Anolis sagrei: one gene and its partners. The protein of the gene in region 1 purifies or fractionates together with the protein of each later gene. This does not show direct contact. Links are inferred from orthologs where the notes say so. Each region holds a gene or a part of one and is shown in the gene's direction. Other genes may lie near its edges.

What was found.
Region 2: the proteins of TRIM25 (region 1) and IGF2BP3 purify together in Homo sapiens (affinity purification with western blotting; 3 studies listed by BioGRID, with this or other methods). This does not show direct contact. The link is inferred for Anolis sagrei from reciprocal best matches to the Homo sapiens genes TRIM25 and IGF2BP3.
Region 3: the proteins of TRIM25 (region 1) and G3BP2 purify together in Homo sapiens (affinity purification with mass spectrometry; 4 studies listed by BioGRID and IntAct, counting the BioPlex papers as one, with this or other methods). This does not show direct contact. The link is inferred for Anolis sagrei from reciprocal best matches to the Homo sapiens genes TRIM25 and G3BP2.
Region 4: the proteins of TRIM25 (region 1) and G3BP1 purify together in Homo sapiens (affinity purification with mass spectrometry; 4 studies listed by BioGRID and IntAct, with this or other methods). This does not show direct contact. The link is inferred for Anolis sagrei from reciprocal best matches to the Homo sapiens genes TRIM25 and G3BP1.

What each region holds. Positions count from the first base shown.
Region 1 is NC_090022.1:144,128,842-144,135,796, reverse strand, and holds the start of TRIM25 (E3 ubiquitin/ISG15 ligase TRIM25), read left to right. Parts: upstream 1-3,951; 5' UTR 3,952-4,055; coding exon 4,056-4,673; intron 4,674-6,955.
Region 2 is NC_090026.1:93,000,269-93,007,392, forward strand, and holds the start of IGF2BP3 (insulin-like growth factor 2 mRNA-binding protein 3), read left to right. Parts: upstream 1-4,105; 5' UTR 4,106-4,251; intron 4,252-4,679; exon of another isoform or gene 4,680-4,682; coding exon 4,683-4,857; intron 4,858-7,124. UniProt on the Homo sapiens protein: RNA-binding factor that may recruit target transcripts to cytoplasmic protein-RNA complexes (mRNPs). This transcript 'caging' into mRNPs allows mRNA transport and transient storage.
Region 3 is NC_090026.1:55,185,290-55,192,307, reverse strand, and holds the start of G3BP2 (ras GTPase-activating protein-binding protein 2), read left to right. Parts: upstream 1-4,011; 5' UTR 4,012-4,165; intron 4,166-7,018.
Region 4 is NC_090022.1:84,248,929-84,256,403, reverse strand, and holds the start of G3BP1 (ras GTPase-activating protein-binding protein 1), read left to right. Parts: upstream 1-4,475; 5' UTR 4,476-4,618; intron 4,619-7,475. UniProt on the Homo sapiens protein: Protein involved in various processes, such as stress granule formation and innate immunity. Plays an essential role in stress granule formation.

The sequences.
Region 1 (6,955 bases):
AAAGAAGAAAGGTAGGAAAGAAAGAATACAGAGAGAGAAGGAGGATGGGAAAGAAGGGAGAAAGGAAGGAAGGAGGAAATGAAAGAAAGATAGAAAAAAAGAAGAAAGGGAAGGGGAAGGGAAGGTGTCAAAAGGAAGGAAGGAAGGAAGGGAGGGAGGGAGGGAGGGAGGGAGGGAAGTTGAGAAGGTATATGAAAGAAGAAAGGTAGGAAAGAAAGAATACAGAGAGAGAAGGAGGATGGGAAAGAAGGGAGAAAGGAAGGAAGGAGGAAATGAAAGAAAGATAGAAAAAAAGAAGAAAGGGAAGGGGAAGGGAAGGTGTCAAAAGGAAGGAAGGAAGGAAGGGAGGGAGGGAGGGAGGGAGGGAGGGAGGGAGGGAAGTTGAGAAGGTATATGAAAGAAGAAAGGTAGGAAAGAAAGAATACAGAGAGAGAAGGAGGATGGGAAAGAAGGGAGAAAGGAAGGAAGGAGGAAATGAAAGAAAGATAGAAAAAAAGAAGAAAGGGAAGGGGAAGGGAAGGTGTCAAAAGGAAGGAAGGAAGGAAGGGAGGGAGGGAGGGAGGGAGGGAAGTTGAGAAGGTATATGAAAGAAGAAAGGTAGGAAAGAAAGAATACAGAGAGAGAAGGAGGATGGGAAAGAAGGGAGAAAGGAAGGAAGGAGGAAATGAAAGAAAGATAGAAAAAAAGAAGAAAGGGAAGGGGAAGGGAAGGTGTCAAAAGGAAGGAAGGAAGGAAGGGAGGGAGGGAGGGAGGGAGGGAAGTTGAGAAGGTATATGAAAGAAGAAAGGTAGGAAAGAAAGAATACAGAGAGAGAAGGAGGATGGGAAAGAAGGGAGAAAGGAAGGAAGGAGGAAATGAAAGAAAGATAGAAAAAAAGAAGAAAGGGAAGGGGAAGGGAAGGTGTCAAAAGGAAGGAAGGAAGGAAGGAAGGGAGGGAGGGAGGGAGGGAGGGAGGGAGGGAAGTTGAGAAGGTATATGAAAGAAGAAAGGTAGGAAAGAAAGAATACAGAGAGAGAAGGAGGATGGGAAAGAAGGGAGAAAGGAAGGAAGGAGGAAATGAAAGAAAGATAGAAAAAAAGAAGAAAGGGAAGGGGAAGGGAAGGTGTCAAAAGGAAGGAAGGAAGGAAGGGAGGGAGGGAGGGAGGGAGGGAGGGAGGGAGGGAAGTTGAGAAGGTATATGAAAGAAGAAAGGTAGGAAAGAAAGAATACAGAGAGAGAAGGAGGATGGGAAAGAAGGGAGAAAGGAAGGAAGGAGGAAATGAAAGAAAGATAGAAAAAAGAAGAAAGGGAAGGGGAAGGGAAGGTGTCAAAAGGAAGGAAGGAAGGAAGGAAGGGAGGGAGGGAGGGAGGGAGGGAGGGAAGTTGAGAAGGTATATGAAAGAAGAAAGGTAGGAAAGAAAGAATACAGAGAGAGAAGGAGGATGGGAAAGAAGGGAGAAAGGAAGGAAGGAGGAAATGAAAGAAAGATAGAAAAAAAGAAGAAAGGGAAGGGGAAGGGAAGGTGTCAAAAGGAAGGAAGGAAGGAAGGAAGGGAGGGAGGGAGGGAGGGAGGGAGGGAGGGAAGTTGAGAAGGTATATGAAAGAAGAAAGGTAGGAAAGAAAGAATACAGAGAGAGAAGGAGGATGGGAAAGAAGGGAGAAAGGAAGGAAGGAGGAAATGAAAGAAAGATAGAAAAAAAGAAGAAAGGGAAGGGGAAGGGAAGGTGTCAAAAGGAAGGAAGGAAGGAAGGGAGGGAGGGAGGGAGGGAGGGAGGGAGGGAAGTTGAGAAGGTATATGAAAGAAGAAAGGTAGGAAAGAAAGAATACAGAGAGAGAAGGAGGATGGGAAAGAAGGGAGAAAGGAAGGAAGGAGGAAATGAAAGAAAGATAGAAAAAAAGAAGAAAGGGAAGGGGAAGGGAAGGTGTCAAAAGGAAGGAAGGAAGGAAGGGAGGGAGGGAGGGAGGGAGGGAAGTTGAGAAGGTATATGAAAGAAGAAAGGTAGGAAAGAAAGAATACAGAGAGAGAAGGAGGATGGGAAAGAAGGGAGAAAGGAAGGAAGGAGGAAATGAAAGAAAGATAGAAAAAAAGAAGAAAGGGAAGGGGAAGGGAAGGTGTCAAAAGGAAGGAAGGAAGGAAGGAAGGGAGGGAGGGAGGGAGGGAGGGAAGTTGAGAAGGTATATGAAAGAAGAAAGGTAGGAAAGAAAGAATACAGAGAGAGAAGGAGGATGGGAAAGAAGGGAGAAAGGAAGGAAGGAGGAAATGAAAGAAAGATAGAAAAAAAGAAGAAAGGGAAGGGGAAGGGAAGGTGTCAAAAGGAAGGAAGGAAGGAAGGGAGGGAGGGAGGGAGGGAGGGAGGGAAGTTGAGAAGGTATATGAAAGAAGAAAGGTAGGAAAGAAAGAATACAGAGAGAGAAGGAGGATGGGAAAGAAGGGAGAAAGGAAGGAAGGAGGAAATGAAAGAAAGATAGAAAAAAAGAAGAAAGGGAAGGGGAAGGGAAGGTGTCAAAAGGAAGGAAGGAAGGAAGGGAGGGAGGGAGGGAGGGAAGTTGAGAAGGTATATGAAAGAAGAAAGGTAGGAAAGAAAGAATACAGAGAGAGAAGGAGGATGGGAAAGAAGGGAGAAAGGAAGGAAGGAGGAAATGAAAGAAAGATAGAAAAAAAGAAGAAAGGGAAGGGGAAGGGAAGGTGTCAAAAGGAAGGAAGGAAGGAAGGGAGGGAGGGAGGGAGGGAGGGAAGTTGAGAAGGTATATGAAAGAAGAAAGGTAGGAAAGAAAGAATACAGAGAGAGAAGGAGGATGGGAAAGAAGGGAGAAAGGAAGGAAGGAGGAAATGAAAGAAAGATAGAAAAAAAGAAGAAAGGGAAGGGGAAGGGAAGGTGTCAAAAGGAAGGAAGGAAGGAAGGAAGGGAGGGAGGGAGGGAGGGAGGGAGGGAAGTTGAGAAGGTATATGAAAGAAGAAAGGTAGGAAAGAAAGAATACAGAGAGAGAAGGAGGATGGGAAAGAAGGGAGAAAGGAAGGAAGGAGGAAATGAAAGAAAGATAGAAAAAAAGAAGAAAGGGAAGGGGAAGGGAAGGTGTCAAAAGGAAGGAAGGAAGGAAGGGAGGGAGGGAGGGAGGGAGGGAGGGAAGTTGAGAAGGTATATGAAAGAAGAAAGGTAGGAAAGAAAGAATACAGAGAGAGAAGGAGGATGGGAAAGAAGGGAGAAAGGAAGGAAGGAGGAAATGAAAGAAAGATAGAAAAAAAGAAGAAAGGGAAGGGGAAGGGAAGGTGTCAAAAGGAAGGAAGGAAGGAAGGAAGGGGAATTTGGGAAGGGGAAGAGGGAAAAAAGCAAAGGAAGAAGAGAAAGGGAGGGAAGAAAAGAAAGAAAGAAAAGGAAGTCTGGAAGTCAAGAGCGAAGGAAGGAAGGAAAGAGATAGAGAGGGAAGAAAGAGGAAGAGGAAGGAAAATAAAAAGGGAGGAGGAAGGAAAGAGGAAGAGAAAGAAGGAGGAGAGAAGGAAAGAAAAAGGAAAGGGAGGAAAGACGGAGCAAAGGAAGAAGAGAAAGAAGGAGAGAAAGAGGGAGGGAAGGAAAGAAATAAAGAGAAGGAAGGATGGGAGCAAAAAGCTAAGGAAGGAAGTAAACAGGTAGAGAAGGAAGAAAGGAAAGAAGAAAAGGAAATGAAGGAAGGAGTGAAAGAAGGAGAGAAAGAGGGAGAGAAGGTTGGCCACAGCAACGCGTGGTGGGTAAAGCTAGTATTATATAGATATACAGCGATGTGATATATATATACACACACACAGGCTAGCCCGCCATAGCCTTGAGCTATTAAAGTGGTGTCGAAGTGCGTTAACTCCCCAGCCCTGAATGGAAAGGAGAGCGGGGGAAAGAGAAAGAGAAAGAGCGGGCGTTTCTCTTTCCGTGGGTCACTAAACGGAGAGAGAGGGGAGGGTGTTGCTCATGCTGTGTGTGTGTATTCTGGCTGGGCTTCTCTGCGTCACGTGACTTCCAATAAGTGGTTCCTCCTGAGTTTCGCTTCTCCGCTGGCAGTGCTTAAGAGCCTCCTCGGCTTGCTTTCGCTTCACTCTGCTTCCAGCCATGGCTGAGGTGGCCAGGGCGCCCTCTCTGCCGGTCCTCTTCGGCCTGGAAGAGGAGCTGACCTGCTCCATCTGCCTCTGCCTCTTCGAGAGCCCAGTGACCACCCCCTGCGGGCACAACTTCTGCCTGCCCTGCTTGGAAATGACCTGGGGCCCCGGGAAGGCCTCAGGCGAGGGCTTCAGCTGCCCCCAATGCAGGACCCACTTCCACAGCCGCCCTGAGTTGAGGAAGAACACAGTGCTGTGCCGAGTGGTGGAGCAGTTTGGGAAGGAGCCCCTCAAGGAAGACCCGGGCCCCAAAGCGGCGGAGAAGAAGCTCCCCCAGGAGAGTCCTGTGCCTTGCGACAGCTGCTTTGGGGCCCAAGCGGCCCAGACCTGCCTCAGCTGTATGGCCTCCTTCTGCCAGGAGCACCTCCGGCCTCACCTGGAGAGCCCGGCCTTCAAGGGCCACCACCTGGTGCCCCCCGTGAGGGACCTCCACAGCAGGAAGTGCCCCGACCACGGCAAGCTCCTCGAGTTCCACTGCCAGGACCACGGCAGGTGCATCTGCTGCTTCTGCTTGGTCACCCACAAGGCCTGCGACACCGTCCCCTTGGCCCAGGCCAAGGAGGAGAAGGAGGTGAGGCGGTGGCCTCATGCAGCAAAGCTTGGAGATGAAGAAGCTATCACAGGTATGGGCACACTTGGGCCGTCCAGGTGTTTTGGACTTCAACTCCCACAATTCCTAGCAGCCTAAGGCCCTTTCCTTTTCCCCCTCAGCCGTAAGTGGCTGAGGGGTAAAAGGAAAGGGCCTGAGGCTGCTAGGAATTGTGGGAGTTGAAGTCCAAAACACCTGGACGGCCCAAGTGTGCCCGTGCCTGGTCTACACTGTCATCAAATCCAGTTTCAGAATGCACATTGACTGCATTGAACTGGGTTCTATGGTAGTGTAGAATAAAATAATCCAGTTCAATGCAGTTAAACTGCATTCTGAAATTTTATTCTAGTTTAAATGCTGGGAGTTGAAGTCACAAACACCTGGAGCAGGCATGGGTGAACTTCAACCCTCCAGGTGTTTTGGACTTCCAACTCTTATAATTCCTAACAACTGATAAACTGGGTGGAATTTCTGAAGTCCAAAACACCCGTGGGCTGAAATTTGCCCATGCCTGATTTTGGAGGAGCAAAGTTTGGCCTACACTGTAGAATGAATGTAGTGTGTTCTGAAGTCCAAAAGGCTGAAATTTGCCCATGCCTGATTTTGGAGGGGCAAAGTTTGGCCTACACTGTAGAACGAATGTAGTGTAACTCTACTTGAACTTTGATGGCTCAATGCTGTCGAATCCTAGATTGTTGAGGCCCCAGCACTCTTGACAGAGAGGGCTAAAGGCCTTGGGAAGCTGCAATTCCCAGGTTTCCATAGCCTCGAGCCAGGGCAGTTCAAGGGGTGTCAATGTGTGTTAATTCGGTCTTTCCTAAACTCGTTCTTCAGGTCTTTTGAACATCAGTTCCTGGATTCCCTGATCATTGGTCAGAGCTGTTGAGGCTTCTGGGAGTCCAAAACACCTGGAGGACTAGAGTTTGGGAATCAGCGATGCACCCCAGATTTTGTGAAAGGCCCCACTTAGACATGTTGCAAGAACTGCAGGCCCAGATTGCACAATTGTATTAGATTTTTATGGGGTGAACAAGTATTTTTTTCTTCAATTTTCATTTGCTGTATTGTTATCTTGTCTTTCTCCTGATACAGCCACTCAAGGTGGCTAGGGTTGCTTATCTTGTCTTTTGCCCCACAGAGCAGTATGTCTTGGGACTGGTCCTTGGTATCCTTGTGTGTAGTTGTTGTGTGCCTTTATATCATTTGCAGCATATAACCACCCTATTGCAGATTTTTGTTGGCAGGATTTGTTCAGAAAAGCTTTGCCATTGGCTTTCTCAGAGATTGAGAGAATATGATTGATCCAAGTTCTCCCATGGTTTGCAATATGGTTAAGTAGTTTCCAGAGGCCTAGGGCGCATCTTCACTGTGGAATTATTGCAGTTTGACACCACTTCCAGGGCTCAGTGCTGTTGAATCTTTGGATTTGTAGTTTGGTGAGCCATCCTGTGGCAGAGAAAGCTAAAGATCTTGCAAAACAACATTCTACTACATTGGCTTTCATTCCTTAGTATCCTACAGCCTAGCAATCAAATCATTGTGCTGTCGAAGGTTTTCATAGCTGAATTCACGGCGTTGCTGTCAATTTCCCAGGCTGTATGGCCATGTTCCGGAAGCATTCTCTCCTGATGTTTTGCCCACACCTATGGCAGGCATCCTTTGAGGTTGTAATGTTTTGTTCTGAGGATGCCTGCCATAGATGTGGGTGAAACATCAGGAGAAAATGCTTCTGGAACATGGCCATACAGCCCAGAAAACTTACAGCAACCCATTCAGATCATTGTTAGCTATTGGTGACAAATTACGTCCATGAAAAGAGCCAGCACAGTGTTTTGGTTTGGGTGTTGGACTAGGATTCTGGAAGACCAGAGTTCGAATCCTTGTTTGGCCATGTAAGCCCAGTTGGTGACCTTGGGCAGGCCACACAGACTTGGAGAAAAACAGTGGCAAGCGTTTTCTGAAGAAATATTGCCAAGAACACCCCATGTTGTGATTGTCTTAGAATTGCCAATCAACTTGAAAGCACATTTTGTTGTTTATTTTTTCAGTTGCTTCCAACTCTTTCTGTCTGCTGTCACCACCCCCAGCTCCTTCAAGGTCAAGCCAGTCCTTTCAAAGATACCATCCATCCATCTTGCCCTTGGTCGGCCCCTTTTCCTTTTTCCTTCCATTTTCCCCAGCATCATTGTCTTCTCTAAGCTTTCCTGTCTTCTCTTGATGTGGCCAAAGTACTTCATCTTGGCCTCTAATATCCTTCCCAGCTG
Region 2 (7,124 bases), on another chromosome or scaffold:
TTTCCACAAAATATGTAACCCAGGGCCTTTCCACATATCTATAGGGAGAAAATCCCACAGAATTCCCGGAAGAGCCCCCATAATCTGAGCCCACACTGCCATATAATCCAATTCAAAGCAGATCATGTGGGCTGTGGAAGGGGCCCCATAAATAAACAAAAGTCCTGGGAAGGCTTTCCCATCCCATCCCATCCCATCCATCCTCCTTTCCCACCCAATCTATGCATAGCAATGACCCCTTTTTTTTCCTTGAAAGCAAATTCTTAAAACTTACTGGAGTCCTAAATATTAAAACAACAGGGCTGGCTTTCATTTCTGTATCCTTCCTTTCTCTTGTGTGTGTGTGTGTGTGTTTTCCAGGCCACGTTTTTTGTTTGCCCTGGAACCAGGCTCCACTCACTCTCTCTCCTACACACACCCTGACCCCCTCCCCCTACAAACCCACCATTGTGTGCTCTTTACAAATGTTGAAAATTATGAATGGTTCCTTGAACCAAGAGAGGAGGGGGAAACAGAGAGAGAGGAGGGAGGAGGAATGGGGGTGGGTGGGTGGATTCTGTATGGTAATCCTAGGGCTGCCTTGCCTGCTGACCATGCCCAGTGCTGCTCCCCTTCCCCTTTAAGGAAACAGCACAAAAACCCACCATTAACTAAATTTAAAAAGACAGGAGGAGGGGGAAGGGTTAGGGTCTGGAATGGGGAGAGGGAGGGGGGAGAGAGGCCGCTCTGTCCGGAGGAGCACGCTTTCCTCTGCCCTCCCACTTTCTTTCTTTCTTTCTTTCCTTCTAATCCCCCTCCAACCGGCCTCCACCCCTTTTGTCCTTCGATTCATAACGTCGTGGAGGCATCACATTCACCAAGGCTCACCAACGCGCCAGAAATATCACTATGCAGGAAAAGGAGGGGAGGAAAAGGAGGGGTGGCAAGGGGGAGTGGGAGGGAACGGTTTCAAGGAGACCCTTCCCTTCTTCTTCTTTTTTCCCCCGGCCTCAACAAGACCCCGGCTTGCTTTTTTTTTATTTTTGTCTCCTCCTTTTCTTTCCTTAAGCAAGGAGCCAATGGCCAGCAAGAAAGCCAAGCCAGCCACCCAACATTGAAATAAAGAGCAGACCAAACGCACATGGATGGGATGCTTTGGAAATCATCATAATAATCTATATAAATAAAAATGTAATGTTCGTTTGTGGGGTTAACATAACTCAAAAACCACTGGACGAATTGACACCAAATTGGGCCACAAGATATCTACTAATCCAAGGAGTGATCATCACTAAAAAAAATTATTTTTTTTCATTTGGGAGTTGTAGTTACTTTGATTTATAGTACACCTTCAATCAAAGAGCATTCTGAACTCCACCAATGATGGAATTGAACCAGATGTGGTACACAGGACTCCCATGACCAACAGAAAACTCTAGAAGGGTTTGGTGGGCATTGACCTTGAGTTTGGGAGTTGTAGTTCTCTTACATCCAGAGAGCACTCTGGACCAAACTTGGCACGAATATTCCATATGCCCAAATATGAACACAGATGGAGTTTGTGGGAAATAGACCTTGACATTTGGGAGTTGTAGTTACTGGGATTCACCTACAATCAAAGAGCATGCTGAACTCCACCAACGACAAAATTGGAGCAAACTTCCCACACAGAACCTTCATACTTAAGGCCATCCAGTCCAACTCCCTTCAACAAGGCAATGTAATCAAAGCCCTCCTGACAAAGAGCCATCCAGTCATAGATATAGATAGATATGATTCACACAGAGATATAGTATCATAGATTTGAAAGGCACTCCTAAAGAAGGACAATTATATGTTGCATGTTCCAGGGTGAGCAAACCAGACAATCTCCACATCAACACTGACAAAGAAACAGCAAGAAATGCTGTTTACACACAAGCATAAATAAATTACATATATTAGAAACCAACACTTTCTAATTACTTTGTTTTCCAGATCACCAGACTGGAACCCGTGGCAGGGGACCGCTAGTAATCTATATAAATAAAAATATAATGTTCGTTTGTGGGATTAACATAACTCAAAAACCACTGGACGAGTTGACACCAAATTTGGACACAAGACACCTATCAGGCCAACAAGTGACCATCACTCATAAAAACACTGAAAAACACAGCAGAAGAGACTTTAAAAGCCAAAAATTTTAAAAATACATTATAACCCATGCGGAAAACCACATATATAAAAATACACACACACACATATATATATACACACACAAAACACATATACAAAGACTGGGCCACAGCAAGGCATGGCAGGGATGGCTAGTATATCCTGAAAACTGGAATGCCTCAAAGAATAATATACCCCCCACTCTCTATCCAAAACAGGTTGGGTTGCTGTAAGTTTTTAGGGCTGTATGACCATGTTCCAATTCTGGAACATGGCCATACAGGCTAAAAAACTTACAATAATCCAGTGATTCTGGCCATGAAAGCCTTTGACAATACACAAAACAGGTCGCCTTTTAGACCTCCTGTAGAATTCTGGGGTTTGTAGTATAGGAAGGCTGTTAAAGCCCCCCGCCCTCAAACTACAAACCTTAGACCTCTACAGGAGACCACAGCTGGATTTAAAGTGGAATTGTTCTCTAGTGCAGTGGTTCTCAACCTGTGGGTCCCCAGGTGTTTTGGCCTACAACTCCCAGAAATCCCAGCCAGTTTACCAGCTGTTAGGATTTCTGGGTCTAGTGTGATGAGGTCCTAAGAGTTGTTTTTTTTACGGGTTGCTGTGATTTTTCCAGGCTGTATATAGCCATGTTTCCAGAAGCATTCTCTCCTGACATTTCACCCATATCTATGGCAGGCATCCTAAAAGGTTGTGAGGTTTGTTTGAAACTAGGCAAGCGAGGTTTGTATATCTCTGGAAAATCCAGGGTGGTATAAAGAACTTTTGTCTGGGTTGCTGTGAGTTTTCTGGGCTGTATGGCTATGTTCCCAGAAGCATTCTCTCCTGATATTTCACCCAAATCTATGGCAAGTATGCTCAGAGGGGGAGTCCACAACATACGAGCAAACCACAGATCACTTACTACAATGCAGCCTGAGCTCTGCCAAATGCAGAATGGAGGACCTTCTTGTAACCAGAATTCTGCAGGAGGGAGCAATTTAAGGTGGATTCATTCTTTACTGTGATGAGGTCCTTATAAGTACTTCATCACACTAGAGAATGAATCCACTTTAAATGGGGTTTCTGCCTCCTGCAGATTTCTGGGGTTTGTAGTTTAGGGAGGCTATTAAAGGTGCTTCCCTAAACTACAAACTCCAGAATTCTGCAGGAGGCAGCGGCCCCATTTAAAGCGGGATTCATTCTCTAGTGTGAGGAGGTCACACTAGAGAATAAATCCACTTTAAATCGGGTTTCTGCCTCCTGCAGATTTCTGGGGATTGTAATTTAGGGAGGCTATTAAAGGCTCCTTCCTAAACTACAAACCCCAGAATTCAGCAGGAGGCAGATTTAAGGTGGATTCATTCTCTAGTGTGATAGGGTTCCAAATCTCATTTGGTCGCCTTGGGGGTTTGCGATTTGGTGTGCTCTTCCCGGGCTTCTCTTTCCAAATTCCTCCCCGTGAGGGGACCAGATAACGAAGTGATTCTCCTCGAAGCCCATCGATTCTCCTCGAAGACCCCACGCCCCGATCCGCGCGAGGAAGGCTGGAAAACGTGGAGAGCCGCGGCGCCGCTTTTTACGCACGGGAGAGAAAGAGGCGCGCCAAAACGCCTGCGCGTCAAAGTGGAGATATATATAGATCTGTCTCTCTCTGTGTGTGTATGTATTAAGCAACCCAACCCGGAAAGTAGTAAACAGGGGGAGGGGAGAGAGAGAGAGAAAAAAAAGGAAAGAAAAAGAAACTTCTCCAGGACAGCTGAAAAAAAAAAAAGGCACAACGCAGCCTCTCCTTTTCCTCTTCCTTTCCTCTCTCCTCCTTTGTGAGTCGCGCTCTCTTAATTGAGGCGTTGGGATTCCTCGCGTGAGAAGTTGATTTGTAGTTTGAACACGTGGCCTCATTCAAAAAAAAAAAAAAAAAAGAGCCGGAATATTCAAGCGATTTCTCTCTCTCTCTCTTTTCCCCCTCCCTCCCTCCCTCTCTCTCTACTCTTTGGAGAGAGGCGGTGCCTTGCGATGCGCGCATTGTAACATTTCCATACTCCGCCTGCTTTGGCCACCAAAGAGAGAGAGACACACACACTCACATACAAAAGGAGAAGGAAACAAGGCAAAGAAAAAGTACTTTCCCTTCTTTATTTATTTATCTACTCCTTTCCTTCCCTAATTCCCATTATTTCCCCTCATTCCCAGTATCTCTTTGGATATGTTGCCTTTTTGCAAAGTGGGTGTGTAAGTAAGAGAGAGAGAGAGAGAGGAAGGGAGGAAAGGAAGGAGGGAAAGAGGGAGGGGTGGGGACGGATATAAGCCGCAGTTGTGATCCTTTCCTCCTTTTTTTGTTGGGTTTTTTGGGGGGAAAGCCCTCCCTCTTTGGCTTTTTATTTTATTTTATTGCATCCTTTGGAAGGATATTGTTTTGTTGTCTCTTCTGCTGCTGTTTTCCCAAGTAGTGGTGCTTCTCTTCCTCTTGTGTGTTTTGTTATTTTTTTCCACCCCTAAATTATTAAGCCAGGATCTAATTTTTTTTGTGTATTGATCCTTCACCCAAGAAGATGAACAAGCTGTACATCGGGAACCTGGGCGAGAACGTGAGCCCGCAAGACCTGGAAAGTCTCTTCAAAGAGTCCAAGATCCCTTTCACCGGCCAGTTCCTCGTCAAGACGGGCTACGCGTTTGTGGACTGCCCCGACGAGAACTGGGCCATGAAGGCCATCGAGGCACTTTCAGGTGGGTCCAACACCCCCTCTCAATACCCTCCTCCCCCTCCAAATGCCTCCCTCTTTTCCCCATTTCCCTGCTTTCCCCGTGCGCCATCCTCTCTCTCTCTCTCTTCCTTCTCCATCGCCGCGTGGTCGCCTTCTCTCTTCTCTCCATTCCCATTTTGGAGACGCGCGCTACCTCTCTCTCTCTCCAAAAAGGGACCCCTTTCCCCAGTTTTCTCCCAGTCTCTAAAAGACCTTATTTAGGATGGGGAGGGTCCGAAGCGGACCTGAAAGGGCCCCCTCTTCTCCTCCTCTTTGCCCCCCCAACAAGGAAAGGCGCAAAAAGAGAACCCCCCCTTTTTTGTTTTGTTTTGGTGGTGCCACAAGAAGGCCCAAAGCCAGGGCGCATTACGCACACATCTCTCCCCCAAGACTCCCCTTCTGCATCTCTCCAGGCTTCAGGAATAAGAGGATAGGGAACGAGGTGGGGGGTGGGGGTTAAGGAAGCCCCACTCTGTCGGAGAAGGGAGAGATGGCGAGACAGAAACGCGTGGAAAGGGCCCAAAGCTGTTGGGTGGGAAGGGACACACACACACTCTCTCTGGCTTCTTCTCCATGCGCGCTCTCGCCTTTCTCTCCGCCCCGGACAAAGGTGGCTTGGGGCGCCCAGGAAGGGCAGGTGGTTAGGAAAGCAAGCAAAGAAAGGAATATATATACAAATTCTCTCTCTCTCTCTCTCTCCCTCTCCCTCTCCCTCTCCCCCTCTCTCTCTCTCTCTCTCTCTCTCTCTCTCACTCACACACACACACAGAGTGGAGTCTCCTCTCCCCCCCCCCCCCGGTGCTGCAAAGCCCACCAACACGGTGGAGTTTTATTAAAATAGATTTGTGTTGGTGTGAGTTTTGCAAGCTGTATGGCCATGCTCCAGAAGCATTCTCTCCTGACATTTCGCCTGCATCTATGGCAGGCATCCTCATAGGTTGTGAGGTCTGTTGGAAACTTCCACACAGTCCTATAACCCAGAATATTAAAGCAGAGAATCCCTCGGTATCTGCTTTGAACTGGATTATCTGATGCCCCTTCCACACAACCCTTTACCCCAGAATATCAAGGCAGAAAATCTCACAATATCTGTTTTGAACTGGGTTATCTGAGTCCACACTCAGATGATGTGGGATTCTCTCCCTTGATATTCAGGGATAAAGGGCTTTATGGAAGGGCCCTGGGTTGCTGTGAGTTTTCCGGGCTGTATGGCTATGTTCCAGAAGCATTCTCTCTTGATGTTTCGCCCGCATCTATGACAGGCATCCTCAGAGGTTGTGAGGTCTGTTGGAAACTTCCACACAGCCCTATATCCCAGAATATCAAAACCCCTCGATATCTGCTTTGAACTGGGTTATCTGTGTCCACAGTGCCATATATTCATTTGCTTTGTATGCTCAAAGCAGATAATGTTGGATGTTCTGTCTTGATATTCTGGGAGATAGGGCCCTAGGTTGGTGTGAGATTTGCAAGCTGTACGGCCATGCTCCTGAAGCATTCTCTCCTGAAGGTTTGTCTGCATCTATGGCAGGCATCCTCAGAGGTTGTGAGGTCTGTTGGAAACAAGGCAAGTGAGGTTTGCATATCACAGTGCCATATATTCCGGTTCAAAGCAGATAATGTCAGATTTTCTGTCTTGATATTCTGAGAGATAAGGCCCTAGATTGCTGTGAGTTTTCTGAGCTGTATGGCCATGCGCCAGAAGCATTCTCTTCTGACATTTCACCTGCATCTATGGCAGACATCCTCAGAGGTTGTGAGGTTTCTTGGAAGCTAGGAAAAATGAGGTTTAAATAATGGAATTATGTCCAGGGTGGGAGAAAGAACTCTTGTCTGTTTGAGGCAAGTGTGAATGTTGTAGTTGGCCACCTTCCACTTCATCACACTAGAGAATGAATCCACTTTAAAATCCTGTTTCTGCTTCCTGCAGAATTTTGGGGTTTATAGTTTGGTGAGGGTGTTTAAAGCTCATCCCTAAACAACAAACCCCAGAATTCTGCAAGAGGCAGAAACCGGGTATAAAGTGGATTCATTCTCTAGTGTGATGAGGCCCCCTGATTAGCATTGAATGGCCTTGCAGTTTTAAGGTCTGGCAGATTGCTGCCTGGGGGGATCCTTTGTTGGGAGGTGATTAGCTGACCCTAATTGATTTTTGACTGGACTTCCCCTGCTTTTTGAGTGTTGCTCTTTAGAGTGTTTTTAAAACTGGTGGCCAGATTTTGTTCATTTTCATGTTTTTGTCCTTTCTGT
Region 3 (7,018 bases), on another chromosome or scaffold:
AGATGCAGAGCCAACCTTCAGAAATGGGGCTACAGGGTGGAATCAACGGCATGCGAGTGCGAAGAAGAACAAACCACTGAGCACCTGCTGCAATGCACCCTGAGCCCTGCCACATGCACAATGGAGGACCTTCTTGCGGTAACACCAGAGGCACTCCAAGTGGCCAGATACTGGTCAAAGGACATTTAACCAACTACCAAATTTGCAAAATCTGTGTTTTTGTTTTTTTTTTTTCTTCTCTTTTTAATCTGTGTGTTTGCTTTGCTCTGTTAGAATTGTAATACAATGGTATGGTTGCTGATGACACGATAAATAAATAAATAAATAAATAGGCCTAAATCTCAAAATGTAGGTGAGGACTGAAGTTGTCTTTTCAATAAGGTTCTGCCTTCACTTTGTGGTCAAGCAAGGACCATATATATTATGTAATCTATATATCAATATATAGTATTATATGTTTGTTTGTATTTTTCAAGAAACCCCCAACTTTCAGAGAGCACTGGAACTCCCACCAACAATGGATCTGGACCAAACTTGGCACACAGACCCACCACCCCCATAACCACCAGAACATACTGGAGGGGTTTGGTGGGATGGGCCCTAGATTATGTGAGTTATAGTTTACCAACATCCAGAGGCCACTCTGAAGCCGGTTTGGGGAAGGTGGGGGCTAACCTTGAATTCTGGAAGTTGCAGTTCACCTACAATCTGAGAGCACTCTGAATCTACACGATGATGGATCTGGACCAAACTTGGCACACATACCCAATATGCCCAACTCTGAATATATATTCATATAATAAATACGCATCTTGATTTAAAAACCAAGGAGTCTGCATTTTTCATTTGGGATGAAGAAGGTATCTACTACTGCATCCCATCCATGATGATGATGATGATGATGATTATTATTATTATTATTATTTCCGTTACTTTTACCCCGCCCTTCTCACCCCCAAGGGGGGACTCTGGGCGGCTTAGAGGAAGGCACAATTCGATGCCTTTGTCACATATACATACATATATAAAAGCAATTAAACAGTTACAAATTAAAATTAAAACCATCAATACAATAGAATACAATAACACAATAGTAAACTAATCCTGAGCTCAGCGTTTGGAGTTCCGTAAATCCATTCCGTCAAATTCTAGCTCATCATCAAGTCTTTCTTTGGCTGCCAGAATGTCCAAATGCCTGGTCCCATATCCAGGTTTTCAACTTTTTCCTAAATGAAAGAAGGGAAGTTGCCGATCTAATCTTTGTATCGTGAATGTTCTTTAAACTATGGGCAGCTCTCTCTCTCTCTCTCAAGGGAGTTGTAAAAACAGGTTCCAAGCTCCATCTACACTACCATATAATAATTTGAAACTGGATTATATGGTCAGTGTAGATTAATGTAATGTAGTTAAGCTAATAGAAATAAACAGATGGATGTGTCTTGAGTGTCCTCTCCAACTCAGTAGAGGAAGCAAATGGATGTCCTAAAATGGATGTCAGGATGGTGCCTTTCTGCCCAGAAGAAGGGGGTCAGTCTAGATGTTCCTTGATGAGGTCTGTACTATGATTTCTGTTCTCCCCCAATTTAACACAGTTTGTGCCACACAAAGTTTCTGGAGTAGAACAACTACTTTCAAAGTAAAAAACACACAATTAAACAGGAAATAACACTTTCAAACCAGGAACAGATTTTCTTTATTATTAATTTTTTAAATAAAAACTTTGAAAATTCACCAAAAATCCATGGATAAGTCAAAGGTTATGAAATTTGGTGAGCTAACAGTGGTCCATGTGTTCTACCGCTGTCGCAAGTTTCATCAGGGTTGGTCTAAAAATGAGGGAGAATAGAGAATCCCCCGAAGTTTCACCAGTGCTATTTTTCCCTACTGTGTATGCACATCTGCATTAACAAATCGATTCAGAAGTTTCAGAAGTTTCGGAAAGTTCCAACTTCTCCCCCCAGAAAAATTCAGAAATGTGTTTAGAATTGAACCACCAGCACTCTTTACATCCTAAACGAGTTTTGAACATTTTTTAAATCAACCAAACCTAGTGTCCAGGGATGCATAGTCTGCAAATCTGCTGTAGCAGTGTTCATGCAGAGCATGTCTAGTAATGGTGAGAGTGCTGATCCCTGATGCACACCAACAGTGATAGTGAAAGGTGGTGAAATCTCTGCAGGGCAGCAGACCATACTTGTTCTTAACTTTTAATATGTTTGAAGGAGCTGGGCATGTTTAGCCTGAAGAAGAGAAGGCTGAGAGAAGATATGATAGCCATGTAGAAATATGTGAGAGGAAGCCACAGGGAGGAGGGAGCAAGCTTGTTTTCTGCTTCCCTGGAAACTAGGACGCGGAACAATGGCTTCAAACTACAAGAAAGGAGATTCCATCTGAACATGAGGAAGAACTTCCTGACTGTGAGAGCCGTTCAGCAGTGGAACTCTCTGCCCCGGCATGTGGTGGAGGCTCCTTCTTTGGAAGCTTTTAAAAAGAGGCTGGATGGCCATCTGTCAGGGGTGCTTTGAATGCAATATTCCTGCTTCTTGGCAGGGGGTTGGACTGGATGGCCCATGAGGTCTCTTTCAACTCTAGGTTTCTATGATTCTATGGATTTTAACTGAATGCTTAAAAATACTGTCTGTGTTTAATTCTGTTTCAATGTTTGTATATTTATATATTTTAAATTGGATACCAATGATTTTATGTCAAGCTGCTTTGAGTCCCCTTTGGGGAGATAAAAGTGGGATATAAATATTATTATTTTACTGACACAAAAACACAGTATGTCACAGCAAATGAGATATAGATGCTGTATTTCGTATCACAAAATCACAAGTCGAACACTTCCCAAGCGTCTAGGACTGTATGGTGTATTTTCGAATGATGCGTGCGGATCCAAGCAAGGTGGCCTTTTGCAGTTGACATATTGTGATTTTTGTCAGTGTTTATTGTTTATAAATGCTGGATGAGCTCTTCCGGAGATACTTCTGGATTGGCACGGCACCCAGTAGCTTCATCCATGTTAGATAGTCTTCTGGTATTCCATGTGACCATAGTGCTCACCAGATCAAGTCATGGGGAATCTAATCAAATGCTTTTTCACGTTCAAGGAATGGTATGTAATGTGTTAGGTTGTTAACTGTTTTTATACTGTAGCACTGAATTTTTGCTGTTCGTATTTGTTGTGAACCGCTGTGAGTCGCCTTCGGGCTGAGAACAGCGGTATATAAGTAAGGTAAATAAATAAATAAATAAAAATTATTATATTATGTTTAGGGCGGGATATAAATAGTATTATTATTATTATATGTACAATATTAGCATGGCTTGCTAGCAATTCACTCTCAACAAGAGATTCCCCCCAGGCGCTTCCAGGCCATTGAATGCAAATCAAGGTGATCAGCTGAAACATTACCCTGGTCATTCCAAAGATATATAAACCCATTTTTCCTACTTCCAACAGACCTCACTACCTCTGAGGATGCTTGCCATAGATGCAGGCGAAACGTCAGGAGAAAAATTGCCTCCAGAACATGGCCATATAGCCCGGAAAAACCTACAACAACCCAGTGATCCCGGCCATGAAAGCCTTCGACAATACCTTGCTAGCAATGTTTACGAAAGAACCTACAGGGAACCGGAAGTGGAGCGTGCACGAAGCTCTCTTCCAATGAACTCTTGAGAGAAGAGAATGGCCGGCTTCGAGGTTTTTTTGGGCGGACTTCAACTCCCAAGCGCCTCAGAAGCTTGTCTAGGCGGCAGGAATTGTGGGAGCTGAAGTCCCAAAAACCTGGCGGCCCTAACGGAGGACGTTACAATGGCCTTTCCTTTCCCGGAAGCGTAAGCATAGAGAGGATAAACAAAAGAAGGACGCCAAAGCCGGACTTCCGTTTGGCCCATCACTTCAAAAGCGTGCTCCTCGCGCACCAGATGTGGCGGCTTTAGCCCCGCCCACTCCTGGCGGCTATTGGGGACCTTTTCGCAGGCGCGCGCGCGCTTTCGGCCTCGCGCTCTCCCGGCGGGGAGCGAGAGAGCCACTTCCGGTTCCGCCCGGACTCCGTCTGAGGGAAGGAAGGAAGGAGGGAGGGACGCGCAGCCCCAGTCGCTCCTCCCCGTGCCTTCGGCCGGGAGCGAACCGGATCCCGAGACCGCGGAGAGCGCCTAGGTGGGTAACGGGGCACGGGCGGATGGGGAGCCTCCTGGGCCCGCGCTTTGCCTCCTGGCGGGGCTTTTTTCTCGCCCCTCAGAGAAAGGACGTGGCGGAGGAGGGAGGAGGGGGGATGCTGCTGCTGCTGTCAACAGCAGTTAATTGCACAGAGCTGCATTATGTGGGTCTACGCTGACCATATCATGCAGTTCCAAACTGCATTGTATTGCAATGTAGATGGGCCCCCTTCAACCCCGCCTCCTAATACGCAGTAAACGTTGGCCTCGAATCAGTGTATTCGCCTTACAACTACCATGTAAGGCAGGTCAGTACTGAGGAGTTTGCAGAAAAGCCGAGGTTTATTTCTTTTCACCATTCTTTCACCAATAATAGTAATAATAGTACTAGTAATAGTTTTATTTCTTATTGTGATATAATAATACTATTACATATAATATTAATGTATTGTCGAAGGCTTTTTGTGATATAATAATACTATTACATATAATATTAATGTTTTAATGTAATCTATCTATATATAAATAAAAATGTAATTTCGTTTGTGGGATTAACAGAACTCAGAAACCACTGGATGAATTAACACCAAATTTGAACACTAATCAGGCCAACGAGTGACCATCACTCATAAAAACACTGAAAAACACAGAAGAGACTTAAAAAGCCAAAACGGCTCGGAAACTCCAATTGATCCAGCGGGCAGCAGCCAGAATGTTAACTGGGGCCCATTACAGAGAGAGGTCAACCCTCCTGTTTAAGGAGCTCCACTGGCTGCCGTTTGTTTTCCGAGCCCAATTTAAGGTGCAGGTGCTTACCTACAAAGCCCTGAACAGTTTGGGACCACCCTACCTGCGTGACCGCATCGTTGTCTACGAACCCACACGCTCACTCCGGTCATCTGGAGAGGCCCTGCTCGTGATCCCGCCCGTGTCACAAGCGCGTCTGGTGGGGACACGGGACAGGGCCTTCTCCGTGGTGGCCCCCCGCCTCTGGAACACCCTCCCGAAAGACCTCAGACAAGCCCCTACACTGGCAGTCTTCAGAAAGAATTTGAAAACCTGGCTGTTCAAATGTGCCTTCTCAGACTAGGAACCCTATATGCCTTCTCTGGCTAGAAACCCCAGTTCCAAATCCCAGAAGCACTTTAGTCAGAATCAAGACCACCGCACACTGCACACCACATTTATATTATAATCCCATATCCCTCCGACACATCAGCACTTTTAATCCTGTACCCCTATTCCGGCCGGCTCAATTTTTAATAATGTCTTGCTGTATTGCTATTGTATTTGTTTTTCTGCTTAATTGTCTTATTTGCTATGTATTGTATTGTTGTATTGTGTGGGCTTCGGCCTGTTGTAAGCCGCACCAAATCCTTCGGGAGATGCTAGCGGGGTACAAATAAAGTTATAATAATAATAATAATAATAATAATAATAAAACAACAACAACATTACAACGCATGCACAAACACACATGTATACACATATACACAAATATATATACAGACACATCTATATAAATAAAAATGTAATGTTCCTTTGTGGGATTAACATAACTCAAAAACCATTGGGCAAATTAACACCAAATTTGAACACTAATCAGGCCAACAAGTGACCATCACTCATAAAAACACTGAAAAACCACAGAAGAGACTTAAAAAGCAAAAAAAAAAAACCAACAAAAACATTACAATGCATGCACAAACACATATGTATACACATACACACAAATATATATACAGATACATCTATATAAATAAAAATGTAATGTTTGTTTATAGGATTCACATACTCAAAAACCACTGGATGAATTGACACCAAATTTGGACACAATACACCTTATCAGGCCAACGAGTGACCATTACTCATAAAAACATGGAAAAACACAGCAAAAGAGACTTAAAAAGCCAAAACACAAAAAGATAAATTACAACACATGTACAAAACACACATATACACAAATATATACACCCATATATATACACACAAAACACATATACACAGACTGAGCCACAGCAACGCGTGGCAGGGGACAACTAGTTTTATATATATACCTCGACTTATTATATAATACAATATATAATAGTATAATATACTGCGCATGTGTTGTGGTACGAAAATATAGTACAATACAATATATAATTATATAATAATGAGATATAATCTATATAAATAAAAATGTAATGTTCATTTGTGGGATTAACATAACTCAAAAAATGCTGGGCGAATTGACACCAAATTTGGACACAATACACCTCTCAGGCCAACGAGTGACCATCACTCATAAAAACACTGAAAAACACAGCAAAAGAGACTTAAAAAGAAAAAAAAATTAAAATGCATTACAACACATTCGCAAAACCACATATATAAACAAACAGGCATATATACACATATATATAAATATATACACACATATATACCCGTACAAAATACATATACACAGACTGGGCCACAGCAACACGTGGCAAGGGATGGCTAGTCTATATAAATAAAAATGTAATGTTCATTTGTGGGGTGATCATAACAAAAACCACTGGATGAATTAACACCAAATTTGAACACGAATCAGACCAACGAGTGACCATCACTCATAAAAACACTGAAAAACACAGAAGAGACTATGAGGAGCAGCTTAAGGAGCTGGGCATGTTTAGACCACACCTGGAATATTGTGTCCAATTCTGGGCACCACAATTCAAGAGAGATATTGACAAGCTGGAATGTGTCCAGAGGAGGGAGACTAAAATGATCAAGGGTCTGGAGAACAAGCCCTATGAGGAGCGGCTTAAGGAGCTGGGCATGTTTAGCCTGAAGAAGAGAAGGCTGAGAGGAGATAGGATAGTCATGT
Region 4 (7,475 bases), about 60 Mb from region 1:
GTTTTGCATTATGAATTCACTTTGTTATTGACCTTAAGATTGGCAGGCATCCCAGTGTGTGGCCAACAATTGGGGGGGGGGAGCCCTCGATGGCGCAGTGGATTAAACCCTTGTGCCGGTAGGACTGAAGGCCGACAGGTCGCAGGTTCAAATCTGGGGAGAGTGCGGATGAGCTCCCTCTATCAGCTCCAGCTCGTCATGCGGGGACATCAGAGAAGCCTCCCATAAGGATGATAAAACATCAAAACATCCGGGCGTCCCCTGGGCAACATCCTTGCAGACGGCCAATTATCTCACACCAGAAGCAACTTACAATTTCTCAAGTCGCTCCTGACACGACAAAAAACAAAACAAAACACGGGGGTGTTCCTTATTGCTGGGCCAGTAGCAGCCAAGTGAAATGCTATGAGAGGTTCTCAGCGCTGGCTGATTTTTACTCTAGGCTATCCATTGCTGTTATGTGATCCCTCGTTGTCAGAGTAGGACAGTCTTCCAAAATCAGTGTATTGGTGGGTCCATAGGTGACTGTGGAGCCCTATTCTTGATCTGCATCTTCTCCCGCAGTGAGGGCATAAGTTTCCAGGTGGAATGAGGTCCCGGTCAGGGTTGGCTTGATGTGCCTTCCTCATGGCATGTTTCTCTCTTTTGCCCTCCATTCATGCCTCTTCAAATTCTACAGCACTGCTGGTCACAGCTGACCTCTAGCTGGAGTGCTCAAGGGCCAGGGCTTCCCAGTTCTCAGTGACTATGCCAGAGTTTTTAAGGTTGGCTTTGAATCTCTTTAAATCTCTTTTTCTGTCCACCAACATTCTGTTTTCCGTTCTTGAGTTCGGAGTAGAGCAATTGCTTTGGGAAATGGTGGTCTGGCATCCAAACAATGTGGCCGGTCCAGCGGAGTTGATGGTGGAGGACCATCGCTTCAATGCTGGTGGTCTTTGCTTCTTCCAGCACGCACTCATTTGCTATCTGACCATTGTTACCATATTACGAACTGGAAGAGCAGGGCTGTAGCAAAAATTAATGGGGAGGGGTGGCTCTTACAGGCCCGGGTGGCTGTAGTGTTCCTCCACTAGAGTACTCTTCCAACTGGCCCTCATTTTCATAGCTTATTATTAAGTTATTATTCCTGTTATTTGCCATTTTGGTCACGTGCTGATATTGCTTGGTCTATGACGGGTCCACAAACTTTTTAAACAGAGGGCCAGGTCACAATCCCTCAAACTGTTGGAGGGCCGGATTATAATTTGAAAAAAACATGAATGAATTCCTATGCACATTACACATATCTTATCTGGAGTGCAAAAAACACTTTAAAACAATACAATAATTAAAATGTGGACAAGATACTTGGAGGAATGAGACCCACCACGTCCATCCTAGACCCCTGCCCATCCTGGCTTCTTAAGGAGGCCAGAGGGGGATTGGCCGAGTGGGTAACGGTGGTGGTTAATGCCTCCCTTCGGGAGGGCAAGATTCCAGCGAGCCTAAAACAGGCTGTTATAAAGCCGCTGTTGAAGAAACCATCACTTGACCCCACTAAATTGGACAACTTTCGGCCTGTTTCCAATCTCCCCTTTTTGGGCAAAGTCATGGAAAGCGTGGTGGCCTCACAACTCCAGGTATTCTTGGGAGACACGGATTATCTGGATCCGGCACAGTCTGGTTTCAGACCGGGACATGGTACCGAGACGGTCTTGGTCGCCTTAGTGGATGATCTGCGCCGGGAGCTAGACAGGGGGAGTGTGTCCCTGTTGGTGCTCCTGGACCTCTCAGCGGCCTTCGATACCGTCGACCACGGTATTCTTCTGGGGCGCCTTGCAGGGATGGGTCTTGGGGGCACTGCTCTGCAGTGGCTCCGGTCATTCCTGGAGGGTCGTACTCAGAAGGTGTTATTGGGGGACTCCTGTTCAACGCCGCAGCCGTTGACCTGTGGCGTTCCTCAGGGATCCATCTTGTCCCCCTTGCTGTTTAACATCTACATGAAGCCGCTGGGTGAGATCATCCGGAGTTTCGGGGTGCGGTGTCACCTGTACGCAGATGACGTCCAACTCTGTCACTCCTTCCCACCTGCTACTAAGGAGGCCGTCGAAGTCCTGAACCGGTGCCTGGCCGCTGTAATGGTCTGGATGAGGGCGAACAAACTGAAATTAAATCCAGACAAGACAGAGGTACTCCTGGTCAGTCGCAAGGCCGAACAGGGTATAGGGTTACAGCCTGTGCTGGACGGGGTCGCACTCCCCTTGAAGGCGCAGGTTCGCAGCTTGGGTGTGACCCTGGACTCATCGCTGAGCCTGGAGCCCCAGGTTTCAGCGGTGACCAGGGGAGCATTTGCACAGCTTAGGCTCGTGCGCCAGCTGCGCCCGTATCTTGGGAAGTCTGACTTGGCCACGGTGGTACACGCTTTGGTCACATCCCGCCTCGACTACTGCAACGCTCTCTACGTGGGGCTGCCCTTGAAGACGGCCCGGAAGCTTCAGCTAGTCCAGCGCGCGGCAGCCATGTTGTTAACGGGAGCTGGACGCAGAGAGCATACAACGCCTCTGCTGTCCCAACTCCACTGGCTGCCGATCTGCTACCGGGCCCAATTTAAGGTGCTGGTGTTATCCTACAAAGCCCTAAACGGTTCCGGCCCAAAATACCTTGCAGACCGCATCTCGGCCTACGAGCCCACGAGGGCCTTGAGATCATCCGGGGAGGCCCTTCTCTCGGTCCCGCCCGCCTCACAGGCACGTCTGGCGGGGACGAGGGAGCGGGCCTTCTTGGTGGTGGCCCCCCGACTGTGGAACACTCTCCCTGCTGAAGTTAGACAGGCGCCCTCCTTGATGGCCTTCCGTAGGGGCCTAAAAACATGGCTCTTCGAGCAGGCCTTCAATTGAGTGTAGTTAAATTGACACTGGAATGAATTAGGACTACGAATTTCGGCTATGACCCCAGGACTTGACGAAGCGGATTTTTAGTATAAGTATATGTTATGTTGTATTTGTCTGGTTTGTATCGTCTTGACTCACTGTACACTGTCTTCTTTGTTGTTGTTCACCGCCCCGAGTCGCCCCCGGGCTGAGAGGGGCGGTCAATAAATGCAAGAAATAAATAAATAAATAAATAAATAAAATGAAGAACAGTTTTAATAAATATAAGCTTATTAGTATTTCAATGGGAAGTGTGGGCCTGCTTTTGGCTGATGAAATAGGGTTGTTGTTGTTGTTGTTGTGTGCTTTCAAGTCATTTCAGACTTAGGTTGACCCTGAGTGAGGGCCGGGTAAATGACCACAAAGGGCCGCATCCAGCCCCCGGGCCTTAGTTTGAGGACCCCTGGTCTATGACATGTTGGTGGGCATGTGCATATGTTACCTAAATACCCTAAGGCACTGGATCCCATTAGATCTTGGTAGCTAAGCAGGGTCATCTTTGGTGATGGGAGGCGACCAGTGCCTTGAATGCACATACATGAACATATGTGCATGCTGCCACAAGAAAACCCCTCAAGGTCCAGTGTATACAAGGTTCACTCAAATCCAGGGGACTCCTTGGCTCGTTTGTTCTCAAATACAGTGCACTCTCAGTTAACCAGAACGCAGGCAAACGGTGGTACTCACGAGTAAACAGCAAAAGAGAAATCGAAGGAATAATTCTTTGAATAAAAATTAAAATAAAATCAGATTAGCAGAAACGTGTAAACTTGGCATGCCTGTTGCAATTCGACGCTTGTTAGTAAAGTTCATTAAGTTGAGAAGTTTTTTGACTGCCATTTAACTAAAATTGCGTGCTGGAGTCACAAAGCTGTTTGCACAATAGGTGTTAAAACTGTCTTAGTTTGCTTTAAATTTCTGTATTTGATGCAATACCAAATCAATACAGAGTGTATGGTATGGCACAGCATGGGACATAGTATTAATGTGGATTATAATGAGTTCCAGGCACTCATTCGGTGATTGAAGAGACTACCCAGAGCAAGGCGAGGACGCGCACGCAGCCTCTCCCGCTGCTCGGAAGCGGCAGAATATTTTCAACGCCTTTCCCTTTAAGAAACGCCACTCCGTCTCCTGTCAATCACGGGATAACACCTTTGGCAATTGGGCCCGGCGACCGGCGCTCGTCTTCAGCCCGCCTCTCCTCGCACGGGGTTTCCAGTCCTCGATTCCTAGGGTTCCCACTGTGCAGCGCACCTATCCTTGGCGGGCAGCGTGGCCACGCCCCCGCGGGTTCTCACTCCTAATAACGCGGGGAGCGTCGTCTCATTGGTGTTTGCCAGATCCGTCGACTCCTGACTCTGCCTTAATAGGTCTGCGCTCCACACCTATTGGCTAGAACACCTGTCTGTCAGAGAAACCGGCTTCACGTTATCCGCAGCCAGATTCGTCGATCCAGTTGCCTTTCCGAACGCGGCCTGCCCCTTCTTCCTCCAGCTGGCCTATCAGCTTCCGAGCTGGGGAGAGGGCCGGCTTCTGACTGGTTGCGAGCGTGCCACAGGGTTAGGTTACGCGCGAGGTATATTTAGCCGGCGGTAGAGCACGCTGTTGCGTGAGGTGCTTCCCGTCTCCTTCGGCTCGCCCGCTTGTCTGCCTCGCACGGAGTGAAACCTCCTCCTTCTCGCCGCCCATCTCCGCCTCGCCCGCAGGTTGGTGCGAGAGGGGGAAAGCCGTTGGGTCACGTCCTTCACGAGCCGGCGAGCGGCGCGCCTTTGTCGTCACCGTCGCCATAGACACGCGGGCTCCGCGCGGCCTTTCCTGACTGGGGGGCGCCGGGCGAAACCATTACACATTGGGGGAGAGGGGGGTTGACGAGCACATTGAGTGGGCCTTTGGCTCTGGCGTTGAGGAGGCGATGCTCCCCCTTCCCCCCTCGGCAGCGAGGGAAGAGGTTCTGCCCGGGATAAGGGGTGGCAGAGCGGCCAAAAAAGGAGCGGGCCGCGTTGCGTATCTGAAGCCGCGCCGTTACTAAGCGAGCTGAGGTCTATTAACAGGAATTCGTGAGGCCCAAGAGGAGAGTTCCATTCAGGATTCTGGAAAGGGGGTGGCGGGAGTGACTGAGGATCCCAATCTGGCCCAGATCGAGTGCTTCCCCCCCCTCCTCGAGGACCTCTGAATAGCGGAGGGCCCGAATCGTGACTGAAAACCTGGAAGGGCCTGGCTTGTGGGCTCCTCTCGCGCCTTTGGGGGAAACCGCCCCGCCAAAGGCTTCCTAAAAAGGGGCGGAAATCGGGGGAGGTGTAACAGACGCCTCGCCTCCCCCTTCCAACCATTCACCTTAACAGAAACCGCTGCAATCCGGAGGACAATAGTGGCGAGGGAAGGAAACCTTGGCAAAGGAGGCAGGGCCGCAAAGCGGGTTCATTGCCGCCTCGTTGTGTGAGAGCGGCAAGCTTTTGTCCCTTCCCTTGGGCGGTCCAGCGTTGGCTTCTTTTCTTTCGTTGGCCTCGGATTGTACCCAATGTCGGGGTTTCCTTGGCTTTGTTCTAGCAGTATAGCCAGCAGAAAATCAAACCCTTTTGCTTCAGAGATGGATTGTTAGTATTTTAAAATACAGAATAGATCCCCGCAAAACTAGACCAAAGCGTGTCTGTACCAGTGAGGACATTTGTCAAGGTCAGGCTTAGCAGTAATAAGAGGTCGATGCACATATTTTCTATCTTTTCCTTAACTAAGTTGGACACTTGAGTACCCTTGGAAAGATTGTTCAGTGTGTGTGTTAGTTTGAGCATGAAAATCTGTAGTGAAATTGGTGTTCATCACACGCAGATATATATACTTACACCGTGTCAGGTGGCAGCATCATAATCTACTGCAGGGTATTTGTAGCAAGGGGCAGTGCTTCCAGTCTGTGCTATTTTTATCCTCTTTTTTTCACAGGCATGGCACAAGGTTAGGAACTGCAGGCAGACCTACTGAAGTTTGCAGATAGGTGTTCCCTATTCTGTGAACTGCTACTTTAGGGTCATGTGAAAGGCTGTGGTCAATCATCGATGGAAGAGTCATGCTATTTAGTTAAAGAGCTTTATATATGTGTGTATTTCTTTAAAATGGAGGATATCTTATGTTTAAATTATATTGAAGTTCTTTGAGAAGTGTAGTGTTAAAGATTGACATGATAGTGCATTGTTTGTCTCTTCTAAGCACTTTACAGGCTTGTATTGTGTTTTAATATTGAGCCCTTAACAGTGATTGAATTGTCTTTTGCTTGCATATAAGCAAAGTGGATGGGGTTATAATAAACATCATCTGGACCAGTTATATTATTTTTGCTGTCCATACTTTCTAGCATTTCTCAGAGTAAGAAATGCCTATAGTTGGAACTCTGTTTTTATAAAGGGAATACTACAATCTTGTTTCTCATTAATTTATTGAAAATAAAAATAAAGTATGTGATCAGAAGGAATTAAGAAAATAAAGATGGTTAATTGTGTATTTTCCCTTATGATGTAGTTTCACTTATGATGTAGATTCAGGAGCACCTCATGAGTTACATAGGACTATTTTCACTTGGAATTCTCACCTCCTCCCTTCCCAGAAACTGAAAAAGCACATGGATAATATAAAAAAGTTAAGGAACAAAGAGCACTTTCTACAAAGCTGCATGTGGTCAAGCAGTCCTCTAGAAATACTCATTTTTTGTCATTATTGTTTGGACAAAGTCATATTTAAGTGAGCTCTACAGCACTATACTTTTCCAGTATTGGGATTCCTATAGCTTAGACTCCCACTCCCCCAGTAGCTCATATTAATAGAATATGACAATTGTAGTATAACAATACCTTTGGAATGGTTAATTCAAACTTAAGTGAATCTTGAATTTTTAAGAACGGTGGAATGTAGTGATTAAAAGTCATATTAGGCATTTATTAATTGGCTTGGAATTATTTTTCCTCTTGGTACAGAAGATGTATGCTTTCAAATTTTTGATGCTGCAGAGTTGCTCAGTATAATGTATTTTTCAGTTGCAACTTTTGAGGCTTCCTTTCCCTCAGTGAGTTCTTATGTAATTAGTGGAAATATAATGTAATAGCAATCCCATAAAGGTCAGAGCTCAGGGGTCAGTCTGTGGCAGAGGAGCCACAACTTTCCAGCCCCTGCCAGATGTATGTCAGTGCAGAATGAGCTGTGTGTGTGTGTGTGTGTGTGTGTGTATATATATAGAGCAATTTTCACTCTCTTCTTGCCTTTTTCCTCCATTAGTTTCAACAGGAAGTAAAATGACAGCTTATTTCCAGCCAATACAGCATTTATGTATCCATTTTGATCATGTGCCCCAGAAATGAAGATACTGGATGCAGAGCTTTCCTGGATTAGTCCTGCAGTACTCCTCCCTCACTATTAATTTATATTCTACCTTACTCCCAATAATAAAACTGAAAGTGGCTAACATATTTAAAACGATAAAGATTAAAAACCATATAGAGACTGTAAAGAAAAGTATTACTCGGTTATTTAAAAACAGTCAAACAATTTTTATTTAAAGCATTGGAATTCAAAAAATGC